Arabidopsis thaliana: one gene and its partners. The protein of the gene in region 2 interacts with the protein of the main gene of each other region in a pairwise test. Each region holds a gene or a part of one and is shown on either strand. Other genes may lie near its edges.

Region 1 (6,240 bases), on a different chromosome or scaffold from region 2:
CACCAAAATTATCACTGACAAATTGATTGGTGAAGCTGCTGAGTCATCATATGATCTAATCATTCTTCCGGTAAGGCTTTAAGCAAAACCCTGCATGTCCTAGTCTCATAATAAACTCATACCATTTCGCTAGTTTACTTCTTCTTAAATAAATCTTGCTATGTACATGTTTCAGTATAACTTATATGCCATGTCAAATCAATGCGCTTAGGAAAAGCTTTTAGACAAACTACAACTGTTGGTTGTTCCATGGTGAGTAATATGATTTCTTTTCTTTGATGGAAATTCCCAAGGGAGGCCATACTGGCTCAGAACGTCTGCAGAAGTCCAAAATTCTCAAGAAACTGCTCAGGGAACAACATGAATCTGGGCGAATATATGGAGCTACCAACTCTTCATCTACCGTTTTGCATAAACATGGTTTACTCAAGGTAAGGTGAAGACAACTATTGTTCTTTTCTTTGTCATATACATGGACAAACGCCATAAACAATTGGAATCCTATTTTAGGAGAAGAGAACGACTGTGTATCCTTCAGAGTCAGACGAGCCTATGAATCAACAAATGATCGAAGGAGCCGAAGTTGTTATAGATGGAAACGTGATTACAAGTTTGGGGCTCGCAACTGTTACCAAATTTTCCCTGGCTATTGTTAGCAAGCTGTTCGGACATGCTAGAGCAAGGAGTGTTTCAGAAGGGCTTGTGCATGAGTATCCAAGGCAGTAACCGTTTGAAAGCATCTTGTTCAAGAAACACAGTTAGAAGATGTCTCATTACTGATCTTAAACCGAAGTATAACGGTCCGATGGTATCAAACCACCTCAACTCCAGAGACTTTTCACAAGTATCATCTGTTCAACGTTGATGCACCTTATCCTGAAGCGGGATGCTATCTGCAAGAATTTTGCCAATTTAGTATGTGTATCTAATTTTGTACGCCCAGTTGGATTACCAGATGTTGATGCTAAACTTGATGTTTACTCTCTTCTATAATAAAGGTGTTGACTTGGGCCCAAATGAGCTAAAGAAAAAATTGCAGACAAGATACAAGATAAATTCACTCTGGTTAAGTCACAAAGATGTTCAAGACAAATGATAAAGATCCATTACATCAGGAAGATAAAACCAAAAGATTTAGGAAAATAGAACAGATATGTGTTTATCTATCTCTGTCAAATCCGCCACACTTCAAGATTTACAATCACCCACAGAACCTGCCTAAACTACGTACAAAGCTAGCTTTCTATCTTCTGAGTTGTTCTATAACTTCGGCGCTTTGTTGGGTTCCTTAGACGCCATTATAAGCTCTACCAGGGACCCGTCAATGTCCTTCGCAAGCATTGCCTTTTGCATCCCATTCCCCATGGCTGGCGCAGAGGCTCCAGAAGCTGCAACAACAAATGAGCCAACTTCCGTTAAATCCATGCTCGTCAGATTAGTCTCATGAAATATCCAAATTGGCATTGCAACATATTCACAAATCTTAAATACTTTATGCAGAGTGGGAAATCAAAAATGTGATGATATGTCTCACTTCATGGTATAGCTTACACTATTCTACTCAAAAGCTTAGAATACTGTCCAAAAGTGTAATTCATTATGAGTGAGAGTTAAAAGCCTAGCCAACAACCATAGAGGATATTCAAATCAAGACAGTACCTGATTTTTCTGCTTTTCCATGATTTCAACCTGCATGAAACATTTGGTCAGTGAATACAACCTCAAGAAAATATGAAAATCTCGAGATTCTTAATTGTGATAGGGAAGAAGCGAGACACACTTGTTTCTTCTGCAACTCTTCATTCAATTCTTTGAGTTGCGCAATTTCTGCTTCCAGTTCCATCGTATAAGCCTGTCAAGCAAGAAAGTGAAAAAGTAAATAACATGGTCACAGTTTTAAGGTTTCTTTAATCTCCAAAATTTAAACAAACACTCACTTGCTTGCGAGCGCGGGATCTTGCAGCTGATTCCCTATTCTTTATCATCCTTTTTTGCCTTCTCTCAATCACTTTCTCCAGAACTGCACCTGTTTTTCTCACTCGCCCAAACATGTAAGGAACAGGGGACAAAGATGCATCCAGGGCGCTCTTTGGAGTCAGATCAGGTGACATCTGGCTTCCAGGAGATACTGCTGCAACCGTTACTCCTGTTTTAAAATCGACAGCTTGCAGTAGATTGTTGTTCATAGGATGGTTATGAATTCCAAGTATTGAAGGCTTCACTTCCTGGCACTGCGAAAAAAGTAAAAACAAGTCATGCTCAGATAACTGAAACATACATGCATATCCAAAACCAGCTTATCTTAAAACATGAAGGCTACGTCTAATATTTTTCAGATGATTGTATTTCCTACAAAATGTAGTAGCTTAGGTTCTTTAGTCACCTGTGTTGCAGGTTGAGAACGGTTAACCACATCAACAGTGTTGGAAAATGCTATAGTGGTCTGTTTGGGAAAAGGCCTCTCCTGCGTCTGTATCAGTTGTTGCGGCTGCTGCACCATCTGTGGCTGCTGCACCATCTGTGGCTGCTGCATCTGTAGTGGCTGAGTTTGAGCAGTCAGCAGATCCTGTCTCACCGCTACTCCATTTCCTGACAAATCTTGAGGTTGGTTTGCAACAAACCCATTACTAGCTGTCCCAAGACCTCCATTACTGCCAAATCCATAGAATCCGCCATTGAAGTTAGTTACACTCTCCACCGGTTGAGGTTCTTCCCTAACCACACCAGCCCTGACCAAAAACTCCTCCAAAGTCATCTCTCCCAGCGTTTGTTGCCTCTGCGGAATTCCGCTTGTCCCACCATTAACAACACCATTTCCAATGTCATCCTCCTTCATCAGCTCCTTCCAGACATCATCAACCCTTTTCTGACTAATCGTCCGAGGCAAGGTAAGTGAACCTTGTCTCTGCAAACTCCCACCAGTGAAAAAACCACCACTTTCTCCTCCCACACCAACAGCTAACCCACCAATGTTGTTACCACCGCCGTTAATAACAGTGTTTCCACTATTACCATTGCTGATGTTGGTGTAACTGGTATTGTTTCCCATCATTGAATGACTTTCCTCTGCAGTCCAAATGTTCTTCAAGAGCTCATCCATGTTCATAGACCCAAAATCTTTCCCAATTCCACCACCCCATGAGTTCTGAAACTCATCAAAGGTTAACGAGAACACAGAGTTCTGCCTAGTCAATGGAAGACTAGTCCCCACCGTTGGCTGCTGCTCACTCACACCATCAACAAAGCTCTTGAAGTTTAATCTAGACCCCATTACTCAAGCTTTCGTACAACTAGGAGGATCAAGCTTCTGGATATTTACCTATAAGAAAACAAACAAGCAGAGAGATTATGGTTTAATTATACATACATCCATAAATTCATCAACAAACGAAGAATCTAAAAAAGCACTGATCTTTATCCAGTTTTAAAGTACCAAAATTTAAGAACCAAATCCAAAGCCGTGAGACAAAATCAGATTTTTATCAGTTCCAAAGCTAAACCCAAACAAAAGATCTAAATGAAATATAAGCACAATGAAGTCAAACAGAGCAAATGGTGAAAATGGAAAGGAATCTCCTTTTAATCAGTAAACAAATCTCCAAAACACCCAATCATATGCTTATTATTCAGCGGGAAAAAAAAATCATGATTCTCTTCGAATCAGTGAATCTGAACAAGAAAACCAATCAGTAATAGACAACAAAAATCGATTCATCAAACCAAAAAAAAAAAGAAAGAAAAAAAATGAAGCAGCTCAGTCACACAAACTAACAAAAAAAAAAAGGAAGTTTTTTGTTAATTTTCCTGACCTTCGAATTTATTTTTTTTCTTTGGAAATGGAAAATCAATAATTCCTCTTTGAGAAATAAAAGATACCTGAAAGGGGTCAGAGCGAGAGAGATGGACAAGTGTCCATGGCGTGACACTCGTCGTGATATAAAAGGGTTGGTTTCTTTTGTTTGGATGCGACTATTATTTTATTCTCGATAAGGTTATTATAGTATTATGCCAATTTGACGTCAGATCGTGCGTGAGCCGTAGAGATTGGGCAACGTGGTCCAATTAGAAACGCCGCTTTTTCTTTAAATCATTATCGATACATTTGCGTTTCCCACCAATAAAATTTCGCAAAGTGGAAGCATTTTTGGCCGTTTGATTTCCTAAACGGCGTCGTCGTTTACGAGACCAAGTACTACTACTAGTACTACATCTTGGAACAAATTATCAAAATATTCTTATAACTTTTTTTTAAGGATAGATAACCAATAAAAATTAAAATTGATGCATTCATTAGCAGTATAGTAATGAATACGAGATTCGTTGATCCGTTATTTGAGTAACAATCTAACGTAGTGTTCACTAACACTTACTTAGCTACCTAATAAAATAGGGATCACACTTTCATTTCTTGTAAGTTGATGCACCTATTTGATCGAATGGTATGAAAATTTGGTTGGAAACAAAATAACCAACGTTATTCCATTCAAGGGAGCGCATTATGGAAAAAAAATTATGATACGATAAGATTTGTAAGAAAAAATAAGAAACAAATGGAAGAAGGGAATGGGTGAACAGTCCGGAATCTTTATCACGTTTGCTGCACCTACAAAGGGATGGTCATTTGCCACGTGGCGCACTCAATGCCTGCCCTCTTAACAATATTTAAAAAAGTTGAAATGAAGCAAACATACAATAAAATTATGATCTTGTGTGTTGATCTTCACATGGTGATTGTGATCTTGTCTTCAACTTCTTTATTTTATTACACCATTATTGAGACTTCTTTACATTTGGACTCGGTACAATACAAGTGACCCTTCGTGTCTCCCATCTTTTATTTCTATTTTCAATCTTTTTATATTATTTTTTCTTTAAGAATCTACTGGATTAGGAAAGTCTACTCTGCAATACATACTAGTATTAAACAAATATGGAACCGTGATTTTGTTTAATGTTATCATATAGAATTCACATGGGACTCGACGACTCTTTTGAGACGTGCTCTTTCCCGAATTAGATTTAATTAATTGAAGTTACTTCTTTAAGGTCGTGTAGAAACAAAATGTATAAATTATAACCACCTTTCAAGAATCCAAAACTCAAAACCAACGAAAGTACGAAACTATAACAACCGGAAGAAACAACACACAACCGAAATGCTAAAACGTTGTTAACAAAAACAAGTTTAATGTGTAACTTTTTTTCAGCTAGGCTAAAATCCTAGAAGGTTAAAAGATATATAACCTTTTTTTAACAAAAAAGAGAGAGTTTAATATGTAAGTTGCAACAACAGGGTAAGTTTGAAGAAATTTACTTTTTCTTAATTCCATGGTAAGATAATAACAAAATTACAAAATAATTCTTACAATAACAAAATTAGATCAAAAACCTAAACCACAATAAAGAAAAAGAATGAAACCTTAGTGTCATGCCCATATATATTTATTACTTTCTATGTGTCTAGAAGACCTAAAGTTGTTAAGAGTAGTTGAACTCTTAGAAAGAGGTCCATTGATTGGATCAAAAAGAAGACCTCACGATGCAAATTAAAAAAACAAAAAACAAATAAATTATGATTAGAAGAAAGCTTTGAGGAATGAGTTATGAGGCATAGCATGATGAGGACATTCAGCCCAACATCAACGTTCGGCCCAAACGTCTGCGCAAGCCCAATCCAAGATACGATTAAGGACTTGGTCATGACTTGACTAAGTCTCTCGCATTTCTGTTTCATTGCTAATAATGTGGAGTATTCCACTAAAGTCACTTTTCCATGATTCCATGTTTGTAGGAGTTAAGCTCCATGATTTGTTTCAAGTTGTTGTAAGGAGGTGAACTCCAAGTATTTATATAAATGAAAAAGCCAAAAAGAGGTAGTCATTATTACCCAAATACAATCAATCTTAATTTGTTATCTTACAAATTCTCTAAGCTTTGAAGAGGGACCATTATAGCAAGATTGTGAAGTCTAATAAACGTATTATTCCTTTGATTTGTTTTTTAAAAAGAACTATTGTCATTTGTCATAGTCAAATGCATGTGAAGTGAATAGCCCGAATAATGTGAGCACGAAGATTTGTTTTGCACCTCTTAACACGCAATCCAAATCACGTGGATCGAAGGTTTTATTGTCAATTATTGGCCCTGCTTGAGCAAACGTATGCTAAAAATACGCTTCAAGTGTACAAACAAACATACTTTTGGTTCAGATCATGTGTTTCCCTCTTGCAAGCCATTCTC
Region 2 (6,681 bases):
TGATTTTCAATAAAATTTGGCAACAATACAAAAATAGCCACGTAAGTCTCCCGTGTCGATGAGACTACTACGAGGTGGATATTTATTAGACGTACCAAAAAGCAATGATTTGAGTTAAATTGCTTTTCACTTGTATGTTTGTGATTATAATACTTAACAGATGTTCAGTGATGCTATTTTTATCTACATTGTGTGGGTATCAGATTTGTAGGATATCAATATCATGAACAGTTGCAAACTCATCGAGTAGATATGATTGTAAATTTTTATTTTTTATAAGGCTGTTGATCAAATATTCAAATGACTGGTGTCTTATGCTTGATGACAATAATATAGAGGACACAAATATTTAGTCCACTTGTTTAGATTTGATGCTGCGATAAGCCAATAACGACGTTTATTATATTTTTGTCTGAATTTTCCTTCTTCTCGACTACTATAGCTATATGGGATTGATAAAAGTTTATGGCCAATATAGTTTCCGTTATATACTTATTTAAAACATTGTACAGTTTTGAAAACAAAACTGTGACCACAAAGACAAAGTCGACCACCAGGACAAAACGAAATGGGACTTTAGTTTCTGATTTTATTTGTACATCTGGCTTTGTGTAAATTGAGTTAATTACAAAATAGGCATTTGTCTTAAGAATTTATTTATTAAGACATTTCTCATATGTCTTCACGAAAACATGTACTTATTTCTTGTGAAAAGTCATCTCTAATATCATTTCATTGGCCTCATCTTCTCAAGCCGAGAAAGTCTAATTAATGTTGTAGTGTTGTGTCGTTGTATCTGTGTATGCATCGCAGACTGTCAACTAAACGGTTTGGGTTTACAAGTCCAATTCTAGGGTATATCGTTTTCACTTCTTCACCTATTTTCACATCATCCTACCACTTGCAAAAATGGAATATCAATTTCTCACTTACTCCAGAAGGTTAAAATCGTCCGAAATCAGACAATAAGCGGCCCATTCAACTGTGCAACATACCTCTTTTGAAATTATTAAATTTAAAATGCCTATATTCGATATAAGCTCGTGTAAGTTTATCTGTAAAGCAAGCTCTCATTGTCAAAATCCATAACTCATATAATTCTTGAATGGTTATAGAAAATTACAGATTGATCACAAGAAAAATTGATGATATTATCTTTTATCAACACAAGATTATACAAAATATCTACACACAGCCAAAGGCCAACACGGTTTTTCTCTCTTGATCCCCATACTCAGCTCGCTCATTAGCCAGGATATCAAACACACAACTCTTACAACTTTATATGCCTAAAAAGCTTTAATCGTGGTGTCATAAAAAAAAAGCAACCCAAGAAGATAAAAATTAAGAAATTAAGAAAGATTTGCATCCCTTTGATTCAATCTTCCAGACTGGTGAGTGACACAGATTAAGCCTCTCTCATCTTGTATCACCATTGACCTGCAACGACGCATCTTGCATCAGTTTGAGACTGATACTGTTAAACCGTTCTCTCGAGTACTGTCTCGAAGCTTTTCTCCAATCTGTTCCTGTTTTCATCATCGTTACAAACTCTTCGTAACTTATTCTTCCATCCTACAAAAAAAACAATTTTCATGATGGTTAGTTCTCTATGAGATGGGATTTTTTTCAACAAGAAAACGAGAGTGAAATGGTGAAGTTAACCAACCTTGTCGGTGTCAACATCACGGATAATGGCATCAACAACTTCTTCACTTGTACCAAGTTCGTCAGACAAGGCTTCCCTTAACTCCTCTATTTCGATATATCCGTTATTGTTTTGATCAAAGAACGCAAACGCTTTCTTGAGATGCTCGTCATTGCCCATTTTCCTTAGGTGTACCGATATGGCAATAAACTCGTCACAGTCCAAATATCCATCTCTATCGATGTCTCCCTGCAAAGTAGAAGAAAACCATCCAGAGCTCAGTTAACTGCATTCAAATCACACAAAAACTGGTATTGAAAAGTAATGGTAAATCAAAGCTCACAGCATCCATCAAAATTTGTAAATCATCTTGCGGAATGGCATGACCAAGTTTCTGCAACCCGATTTTAAGCTCGTCGATGTTAATCTTCCCTCTTTGGCTTGTGTCCATTATTTGGAACCCTTCTCTTATACCTGAAGCTTCTTCATCTGATAAATGCTCAGCAATAACCTATCGAGATAACGTAACAAGACCAAACGAAACTATTGTTAGGCTTTTTAGATCAGAAGAGATATACATTTTCGGATAGTTTATAAGTAATATGTATTTTACCCTGAGTGCTCGTTTCTTGAGCTTGTTCATGACGGTGAACTGCTTCAACCTTGCCCTCACTGTTTCACCCAATGATACATTGGGGGCTGTCTTTGCATTCTGTAACCACGGGTGATCTGAGGAAAATGAAGCAAAGACCGATTAATACTCTTTGTCTGTCTCAGATTCCATATAAGCAAATTGCATCATATAAATCTGTACCTAGGACTTGTTGAGCTGTAAGACGACGCTTTTGGTCAGGATCAAGCATTTTCCTGATAAGGTCTTTTGCGTTTTCAGAAACCTTGGGCCATGGGTCCCTTCTGAAGTCTAGTACAGATCGAATAATTGCTTGTGCAACTCCTTGTTCAGTTTCTGAAAATGGTATAGAAAAAAACAGAAGACCAGGTTCATTATTCTTATGATCACTTCTTCATATACTACCCCTGAAGACAACATGTGCTACAGACGGCCCAAGAAGAAGGAAACATAGACTGACAAAACTAACCTGCCCAGAAAGGCGGGACACCACATAGCAGTATGTAAAGAATTACACCTGCACTCCAAATATCAACTTCTGGACCATAATTCCGTTTTAGCACCTCGGGAGCCATGTAGTACGGACTACCAACGATTTCGTTAAACCTCTCGCCTGCAAAGAAAATAACGGTGTGGGTTAAGATTATTGACAAACCACAAAGCAATCAGCTATCTACTGAGCAGAAAGACCACATTACCTGGTTTAAAGAAAACAGAGAGACCAAAATCAATCGCCTTAAGAGGTGCAGTCTCCTTCTTGTTTCCAAACAAGAAGTTCTCAGGTTTCAGGTCCCTGTGCATTACCCCATGCTTATGACACACCTGCAAGAACACACTCATTAATCTCACATCTAAAATCACTCCACAAGACTTTCAATTTACATGAAAAGAAACGAATTTTGAATCTTTCTGCAGCAAATTGAGCCCTTTAAAGCAATGCTACAAGTCAATAATGTCCAAGAAACTGAAACCAGTAACAAACCAAGACATTATACGAGGCCATTGCAATTCTGCAACAAGTAAAGACTAAAGAGATACAATAAACAGCAAAAAAACCTTGACGAACCTGAACAACTTCCATGATGGTCTTAGTGACAGCAGCAGCAGCTCTCTCAGTATAATGCCCTCTAGCAACAATCCTATCAAACAATTCACCACCTTCACAAAGCTCCATAACCAAATGAACAGCATGCTCATCCTCATAAGTCTCCTTCAAAGTAACAACATTAGGATGCTCAGGCATATGCCTCATAATCTCAACCTCTCTCCTAACATCTTCAATATCAACAGCTGTCCTCAGCTTCTTCTTCAAAATCGATTTACAAGCAAAAACGTCGTCTGTCTCCTTATCAGTACATAGATACGTAACACCGAATTCTCCACGACCTAGCTCTCTCCCCAACGTGTATTTAGACTCGATCTCACGACCTGTTGGATCATTCAAAACGATAAGCTTAAGAGGTCTTCCACCTCCATCTCCACCACCGTGGTGAAGACCGTAATCAATCGAGAAAGGGTTTTGCTTCTTCCTTCCTTTTTTGGGTTTGTTATCGTTTTGAGCCAATGATCCTGCTGTTCCGCAACAATTACCCATGACTTTTCCGATCAAACCCAAATCAAAACCGATGAAACTTGAGAGATTGAGGACGAAATTCCAGGAAAGTAGGAAACTTTAAGAGAATTCTGGAAGAGATGGATGAGAAAAAAACGAAGGAGGTGAAGAACAATATATGAAAGGGTGGAAATTTTCAACGCGTGAATACCAAGAAGAACGTCAAATCATTTGTTCGAAAATTAAAATTGCGAAAAATTAATTACAGAGAGAGAGAGAGAGATGATGATGGAAGGAAGGTCAAGAGAATCTTCTTCCCTCCCTTCTTCTCCAGCTGCTCTATGATTGTTTTTTTTTCTTTTTTTGTCTGTTTCTTTTTTTCACTTTAAATTTTTAATTTTCAAAGAATGTTTCTTACTATTACATTACTCTAATGTGAAATCAAAATGCCTTCAGCTTTACCAAATTACTATTGACAATATTACCCCTATATGTGATTTTAATTATTTTTGGTGAATATATGTGATCTTAAGTTAAGGCTTAAATGCCGACAAAAAAAATTAAGGCTTAAATAGTTAAATGTCCACCAATTGTTTTTTTTCAAACTCCTGCAGAATTTTTTTTATTTTTAGAATATTTTTGTTCATTTTAATTTTAGAAAACTCTTTATTTTTATAGAATGTCTAACAAAATTCTAGCACCAAATAAATATATATCTGTGAAATGAATCATACAAATAATTACGAAGACAGGGGTGTTTCAGGAATTTTACCTCATGGATTAAACAGAAAGCGGAGTCTGTGACACGTTCTTAAACTAAGCGCCTTGGAAATAAAAAAAAGTTAAGGGTGAAACCGTAAATACGCTCGTGTTTGGGTTCATAAATAAGCGGCCACCTTTATTTTATGTTCTGTTTTTTTTTTATAATTAAAAGGTCAAACACGGCGATTTTGACTCTTTTTAATCACTTTCGTCGGACCCAACTAACTAATTTTTTTGACTTCGATACAAAACAACCAACATATGTAATTACTCAAAGTTATTTGCTTTTTCTGTCAAGTTGATGATTTTGGTTTTGCACTATAAAACTTCTACCAACAAATCGATAAACGCATTTTGATTTATCAAAATTTAACTGATATAGAAATAAATTTATTTTTATTTTTTTGTCAACTAATTTAATAATTGTTCAGATTACAGATATATGTGCAATTGGGTCGAAACCTGTATTTAAAAGTAACATAAATACTTAAAATTTTACTTTAGAGTTAGTTTATATATAAAATAATTAGCAAAGTCAACGGAGTATGAATGTGGTAAGATACTTTATCAAATGCCTCTAAATTAATATCAAAGCTCCTGATGGACATTCCTTTCCTTACACGAGTGTTTGTCTTACTCCTACCAAGTCAATGATTCAATTTGTAATTTGTTTACTTAGATTACCGTTACTAAAAAAGAGAGTTAAGTGCAATATATAATTAGGCAAGAAATGAGGGGTTTTATACAGTACACTCTATTTTCTTTAGTATTTGATCATTTACCAAAGACTGAGTCTTGTTTGTTAAAACGACCAAAACAAAATATATCTATGATATTGATGGACAAATAAATAGGAGAGTTAACAAAGAAAGGGTATGTAGATTTCTACCAAAAAAAAAAAAGGGTATGTAGGCCCATTATGGCAGAAGCAAAAACCGAAAATAAGCCTTTCTTAATCAGCCCATCTCAAAATCTCTTTACTTCTCTCTTTCTTGCACTTGTGTGTATAAGGTCTATGTTTTGTTCACCGTAAGAGTGTGGTAAGAAATACATACAAGTTGTATGCAAAAAGGTTTTAGACTCGTCTGAGCAAGATTTTAGTGGGTTCGAAATTCCATTCCTGAAATACGTAGGGTTTCGAGCTTTGCAGCCTGAATTAGTAAATTGTGGCGTCTTAAATTACATTTTTGTTAAAGCTCTTAAACACATGAGTGACAGGCCAAGGTAGAGAGAGTAATTAAATGAACAGAGCTGGAAACTAAGTAAGAGCTTGAACCTTTTTTTTCTTTTCTTTAACTCTTTAGTCGTATCAGTCTCAGCAGATGGAATGACAAAACAATACATGTAAACAATTTTCTTGGCTTACAAATAACATTTTATTAGTTTTTATGTGGTGCAGACAAAGAAAAAAGCATACAATTACAAAATATATCAGTACCTTTAAAACTCTTACATTCTATATATAGTTATATACACATTGATTCCCAACAGAAAATGGTAGCCTATATATATTGAGACATTTGGATGTAACTAAAACTAGTAATAGCTTAGCTAGGAAAGAGAGAAGAATGATCGTTTGGCCGGAGGTCGTCCAACGGCTCTCATGAGATTAGCAACTTCAAGAACCCTCGCAACCTCCGTCCCTCGTTTACCTTCCGCCGTGGCTCTCCTCTCCTCCGCCTTCCTCTGAGCTTTTGCCACTTTGTTTTGTGTTTTCTCCATCGCCTTCGCTCTCCTATCTTCCAGTTTCCTCTGCATCCACATATATGTATCAATCGCATAATCTATTATTCCAAAGACAACATCGACGTCTATTTAGTCAGTCTTTTGGATAGCTTTATCACATTTCAAATATTTGATATATCACCACCATTCAAGGATCTATCGTTTATTTGTGTTTCTGCTTTTTTTTCAAATAAACCCATAATTCTTACATTTTGATTTTTTTTTTTTGGTTGGATAAAATATGCATTTTATAATTTGTAAAAAACGCTTGTCCACGTTTATCGTTTGCAATTTGAAAACGTTACATAGTTTTTCTAAATTATTTTGTTATACATGTAAAAGCAAACAGTTTCAAGAAAAGCA
Region 3 (5,720 bases), on a different chromosome or scaffold from region 2:
GAAAGCCTCCACCTAGTTGGGGAACAAGAATGAAAATTGCAATTGATGTGGCAAATGCTTTGGTAAATATTCCAAAGTCTTTCATCTACATTTTCTCTGTAAACTGATTTGATAATATATCTTTTACAGTTTTTGGTTCTTGGCTGCACGTTGTTCTCTCCTCCAGGAATATCTTCATTTCTACTGTGATCCTCCTCTCTGTCATAGAGATATTAAATCAAGCAATATATTACTCGATGAGAACTTCGTCGCTAAGGTATGTAGTACTGCACATCTTCTGTGTTAGAGAACCCTTTGGTATTTGGATAACTAATAATGTTTTCTTGGTGCAGCTTTCAGATTTTGGCCTTGCACATTCGTCTAGAGATGGCTCTGTTTGCTTTGAGCCTGTGAATACCGATATCCGTGGAACTCCAGGTTTGGGAGAGATACTGAACAGAATAACTTGACTACTTTTGATGGAAGCTGAGTTTTAAAAACTTGAAGTTTTTTCAGGTTATGTAGATCCGGAATATGTAGTAACGCAAGAGTTGACAGAGAAGAGTGATGTGTACAGCTACGGAGTTGTGTTGCTGGAGCTCATAACCGGGAGAAGAGCAGTTGATGAAGGTAGGAACCTTGTGGAAATGTCTCAGCGGTTTTTGTTGGCGAAATCAAAACACCTCGAGTTGGTAGACCCGAGAATCAAAGACTCTATTAATGATGCTGGAGGAAAACAACTTGATGCAGTTGTGACGGTTGTGAGATTGTGTACCGAGAAAGAAGGCCGGTCTAGGCCATCAATTAAGCAAGTCTTGAGGCTGTTGTGTGAAAGCTGTGATCCGGTGCATAGCGCATTTGCTAAAGCGGTTGAAGAAGAGATAGGCTGGGATAGTAGGAAGAGAAGCAATTTGAGAATTCAAAGAGGTGATTCCCGGATCTTTGGTCCATCGTCTAGTACTACTTCCAGGTCACATTACAGCCGGAGTTTACCTCACTCTCCAATTAACGGATTTTCTTTCTGAGTTAGTCACATCTTCTCTATAGCTAAATCTGAAAGTTTTACATATGTTTATGAAAATTATGAATTCATATTGAAAGCTCTCATACTCTACACAGACTGCACTCTTAGTTAAATTCAGCTCAAAAGATTTCTACATTGTAAGCGTCTCTGTAATTTCTCCTGTACAGTAGCACTATCTTCTATTACATATTACTCTCCCAGTGTCTTCCTTTTGAGTGGTCCTGTATTACATTAGCAGGTTCTTCTTGCTTTGACTTCACCTTCTTACCACGGACCGGTAAGGGTTCTTCTCAAGCATTGTCTTTTGGCCAGCAATGGAGGCTGCTTCGAAAATTCCTTTAGCTGCAAATTCAAGTACTAGTATCAGTGAACTGTGTGTCATCAAAATGACAATAGAGCTACATTTAGACAGACACAAAATGTCTGGTAATGTAGAGACAATGATGGTGTATACATGAAATATACATAAGTAGAGGAAAAACGTTATTACCTCACTATTATGGGTTTTCATTATTTCAGCCTGCAACATAGAGAGACCGCAGTTAAATAACTGAGCCAGCTAGACTCTCTATGGAGAAGCAATAAAAATGGTAGAAGAAAAAAACCTGTTTCTTCTGCAAATCTTGATTCACTAGCTTGAGACTTTCAATCTCAGCTTCCAGTTCCAAGGTATAAGCCTGAGGTTTAGCCAAAACATCAAAATGATTTCAAAGTTCTTGAAAAGAAAACGGTAATGGCAGTTTGGTTAGATGATATTGATATCAAAGTTTTTGAGAACAAAACGGTAACTTTACCTGTTTTCGAGCCCTTGATCTAGCAGCGGATTCCCGATTCTTGATCATTCTCTTTTGCCTTCTCTCAACAACCTTCTCCAGGCCCGTATTGCTTCTTCTTCCCCGACCAAACACGTAAGGAACTGGTGATGACCAAGTATTGTTTTCTGCACTGCTCGTCCCAGGAGAAGTAGCTGTAACAGTACCCCCTGCTCCTCCCATATTACTGTTGGCTGGACCATCTGCGCTAGTCTCAAATAAACCCCTGTTGACCATATTTACAGGCGCCGCAAATGTTACATTCGCTTGTTTTGGAAAGATAGTTGGAGGCAGTCTCTGATGTGGCTGCTGCAACTGCTGCTGATGTGGCTGCTGCTGCTGCTGCATGGTTCCACCAACTTTGAGGCCTAAACCAGGTGCTTGATTCATGATCATAGAACTATTGTTCCCGTTGAACGATATGCTGTTTTGATTCGGCTGACCAAATCCAAACTCCAAACCAGCAGCACCGTTGTTAGCATAAAACCCGCTACTACTGTTTTCGTTCTGCTGAGTATTATCTTCTTTAACAACGCCAGCACGGAGTAAGAAATCTTCCAGAGTCATTTCCCCTAAAGTCTGTTGCCTCTCAAGCGCATCCGTTCCAGTATTCCCATTACTACCTTCTTTCGAATTCAGGTATTTCCAGACTTCATCGACAGTCTTCTGACTAAGCGTTCTAGGCAAGGTCAAGGAGCCTTGCCTCTGTAAACCATTTCCTCCCGGAACAAAACCACTAGGTCCCGGGGCTGCAACCGAAGATGTAGTAGTCATAAAGGCTTGAGTATCCTCAGCAGTCCATATGTTCTTGAGTAACTCATCCATATTCATAGACCCAAAATCTTTCCCCGGCTCACCTAATGTGCTCTGAAGCTCATCAAACGTTAAGGAATATAACGAAGACTGCCTCGCCAATGGCTTTGACTCATTCCCTCTAGAAGTATCGCCGCCTAAGTTGTTGATATCAATGTGAGTACCCATACTTCTTTTCTGTTTCACAACGGAATCACTTCCTTCCAAATTCTTCAGTGAAAAAACAAACGAATCAGACCCTTTTAGCTTTACCTAAGAGAGAACAAGACCAGAAAATTGAAACTGGTTTAGGAGTATAACACACCACACAACTATGTGTCACATAGTGCTTTTAAGTATACTTGCATAAGAGCAAGCAAAGAAGACCAAAAGCAAAAGGCAGGAACGTTCATATAAATGTCAAAACTTTATAAAGTTTTAGCCAGAAGCAATCAATCACAAACATATACATAGAAGTGTGTGATACAGAGAGTATAAATTGGATCCTTGGATTCAGAGAGAAATATAAGATTGGATCAAAATCCATAACTTTGACCATTCTTGAATGTATCTAAAAGATAGATCTATAAAAGATTCTGGAGTAAAAGCAAGATCACACAAACCCTCAAGAAGAAAAACAAAAAAGTCTTATCCTTTAATTTCTTTAGGAATAGTTACTTCATTACTACTACTACTTGATTTAGAACATAGAACCAAAAAAAAGACAAAACAGATATTATGAATCGGACCCAAAAAAAAAAAAAGTATAACACTTCAGGGGATGTGATAAGACAAAGACAGATTCGAGAAGAAAAGAAAACGAAAACGGATAAACAAAAAGAAGGAAGCTTTACCTAATATTATAGGCGATTGCTGAAAATAGAGAAGAGCTGCGAGAGAGAGAAGAGACGACAAGTGTGTTTGTAGTAGCTTCGACACGAACTGCCATTTTAAGGGGTTAAGCTTTTTCCTCTTATGGTTTTTTATTTTATTTATTGTTTAGATATTTTGCTTTCATTTTTTGGTAATAAACTAATAAATATCCCGTTTTAATGATTATTAAACATAGTCACTTAATTTAGCTGACAACCACGTTCATTTTTAACCAATAAGAAGCTGTAACGTGTGAGAGCTTTAGTCGCTGATTGTGTCCTTTGCCTTGTTTGTTTTCTTTAAAAATGGGATTAGATCTGATACAAATATCCATATTAACCTTGCCATTTAGACATTATTTCTGATCTTAATTAACTAACCGAAGAAAGTTTGGATAATTATAGTATTTCAATTTTAATTCGCCAACAGAAATTTTTTAAATATCGAATTCTGTGTTGTAAACTGCACAATTTTACTTCAATTCGACTCCAAGAAAATTACTAAAAAGGAAATTGATTTTTTTTTTACTTATGAACCGCAGTAAATTTTTGTTTGATTTTTAGTTGGCTAATTTTTTTTCAAAACCAAAATTCTAAAAAATCAAATCCTAACTCATCTGAAGTTTATGAATGTCTAGTCATATATTGTTGGTGTTTACCGCGATCAAAGAGAAAATCAAACCACAACAATGTTCGTAGATGGTGGTAATCTATGCACATGACAAAATACTCTATATACAATCGAACAAACTACTAGACTAGAGGTTTTTGGTTAAAATTTTATTTTGCATTTAAATAATTTTCTATGCATATAAAAAAATAAGAAATGAAATGGGAATAAAATTATAGTATAGTATCATGTCGGTCGGAACACCAAATGATTAAATTATGTGCCAAATTAATTTTAATATCATATTGTTGTTACTCATGTAAGATATTTTGTGTGCTTGATAAACTGTGATTATTATACATGAATGATGTTGAAACAACGGCAGAAGTGGGTAGTGATTCTTTTTGGGTCCCATCATCCCAATGGTGTGCGAATTTTGACATCAAGCAATAATCATTATATCCAAGCAACCCAAAAGAAGAAGACTTTTAAGAAGATTTGCGTCGAGTTTAATACAATTCACTTCCAAATTTGGAAATTTTGCCCTCTCCTCACTTGGTAAATGGTATGTTGATGATTTCTACTTCTTTATAATTTGATAACTTATTTAAAAGAATTGTCTACTTTCGTGTCACCGTTGGGCCAGCGTATAGAATGAGCATCAAACCATGATAGAGTTCTCCTTCATTCTTTCTTTTTGTCATATATGTGATCATTGGTATTTTTTTTTTTGTCAATATTAATTTAGATTCATACGAGCTAATTCCGGGAAATATTGTTTACATATGTAATCATTGGTATTGTAATGCTAATTTTGTTTCTTTTTTTTTAAAAACTTCCGCTTTCTTGTGGAGCAAAACATATCAATTACCCATTCAACAACTTTCTAGTCTCTACTAACAAACCTCACGACTTTGTTAATCAAAAAAGAAAAATTACCTCTACTACTAGAAGTAAAAATAAATGAAAAGGAAGAGTTTTCTAATGGGTAAAAATCCAAAAAAAAACCTTAACTAATTTTTATTTAAACGTTTAATACCCAATTGTTTTTTCTAAGAAGAAAAATACATGAAAAATACATGAAATAATAAAACTGTGCAATTTAAATATTCAAACAATTAAATATTGTTATTTTCATACTCACGATCTGACAACAAAAATAAAATTTTAATTTTACCCTTATCATCTCAATTAACTATTAATTTTTTAGATTATATGACATTAATTTTCTAATTTTGGATAAAATAATTTTATTAACATATTAGTTTATGGTGTCTAAAAATTTCAAATTTTCATTTTTATTATAATTATTTTATTTTAAAATTATTTAGAGAAAATAAAATATTTTTTAAAGTGGGCGGAACAATCTCCGCTCGAATTTAAATCTTTCACGAATAAAACTATTTTTGAAAAAATCTGAACCCGAATCTCATCGTTTTTCTCAAGATTTTTGACAAAACTATTTTTGAGATTCGGGTTGTGTTTTTTTTCAAAAAAAGTTTATCCATAAACTAAAATCCTAATATTTTTCTCCATCAAAATCATAGAGTCAATTCATCAACAATGGCAAGATACAAACTAAGTATTGTAATAATACTATTAATGTGAACGTTTTGAAGTAATTCGAAACA

What was found. The genes of interacting proteins can lie anywhere in the genome.
Region 1: the proteins of CPK32 (region 2) and ABF3 interact in a two-hybrid assay, tested with the Arabidopsis thaliana proteins (one study listed by BioGRID).
Region 3: the proteins of CPK32 (region 2) and ABF1 interact in a two-hybrid assay, tested with the Arabidopsis thaliana proteins (one study listed by BioGRID).

Annotation. Positions count from the first base shown.
Region 1 is NC_003075.7:16,293,039-16,299,278, reverse strand, and holds ABF3 (abscisic acid responsive elements-binding factor 3), read right to left. Parts: upstream 3,946-6,240; 5' UTR 3,272-3,945; coding exon 2,384-3,271; intron 2,232-2,383; coding exon 1,938-2,231; intron 1,853-1,937; coding exon 1,781-1,852; coding exon of another isoform or gene 1,690-1,780; coding exon 1,660-1,689; intron 1,389-1,659; coding exon 1,308-1,388; 3' UTR 994-1,307; downstream 1-993. Other genes in the region: DJ1C (Class I glutamine amidotransferase-like superfamily protein), read left to right, coding at 1-70, 294-431, 511-726. UniProt on the Arabidopsis thaliana protein: Binds to the ABA-responsive element (ABRE). Mediates stress-responsive ABA signaling.
Region 2 is NC_003074.8:21,295,479-21,302,159, forward strand, and holds CPK32 (calcium-dependent protein kinase 32), read right to left. Parts: upstream 4,227-6,681; 5' UTR 3,874-4,226; coding exon 3,346-3,873; intron 3,102-3,345; coding exon 2,978-3,101; intron 2,893-2,977; coding exon 2,749-2,892; intron 2,616-2,748; coding exon 2,463-2,615; intron 2,378-2,462; coding exon 2,262-2,377; intron 2,160-2,261; coding exon 1,992-2,159; coding exon of another isoform or gene 1,941-1,991; exon of another isoform or gene 1,898-1,940; coding exon 1,670-1,897; intron 1,576-1,669; coding exon 1,420-1,575; 3' UTR 979-1,419; downstream 1-978. Other genes in the region: AT3G57540 (Remorin family protein), read right to left, coding at 6,145-6,345. UniProt on the Arabidopsis thaliana protein: May play a role in signal transduction pathways that involve calcium as a second messenger. Involved in maintaining Ca2+ homeostasis in pollen tube tips by regulating CNGC18. Functions as regulator of the calcium-mediated abscisic acid (ABA) signaling pathway.
Region 3 is NC_003070.9:18,397,902-18,403,621, reverse strand, and holds ABF1 (abscisic acid responsive element-binding factor 1), read right to left. Parts: upstream 3,617-5,720; 5' UTR 3,462-3,616; intron 3,436-3,461; exon of another isoform or gene 2,839-3,435; 5' UTR 2,797-2,838; coding exon 1,798-2,796; intron 1,681-1,797; coding exon 1,609-1,680; intron 1,524-1,608; coding exon 1,469-1,523; intron 1,346-1,468; coding exon 1,260-1,345; 3' UTR 1,005-1,259; downstream 1-1,004. Other genes in the region: AT1G49730 (Protein kinase superfamily protein), read left to right, coding at 1-62, 167-256, 333-417, 496-1,004. UniProt on the Arabidopsis thaliana protein: Binds to the ABA-responsive element (ABRE). Could participate in abscisic acid-regulated gene expression.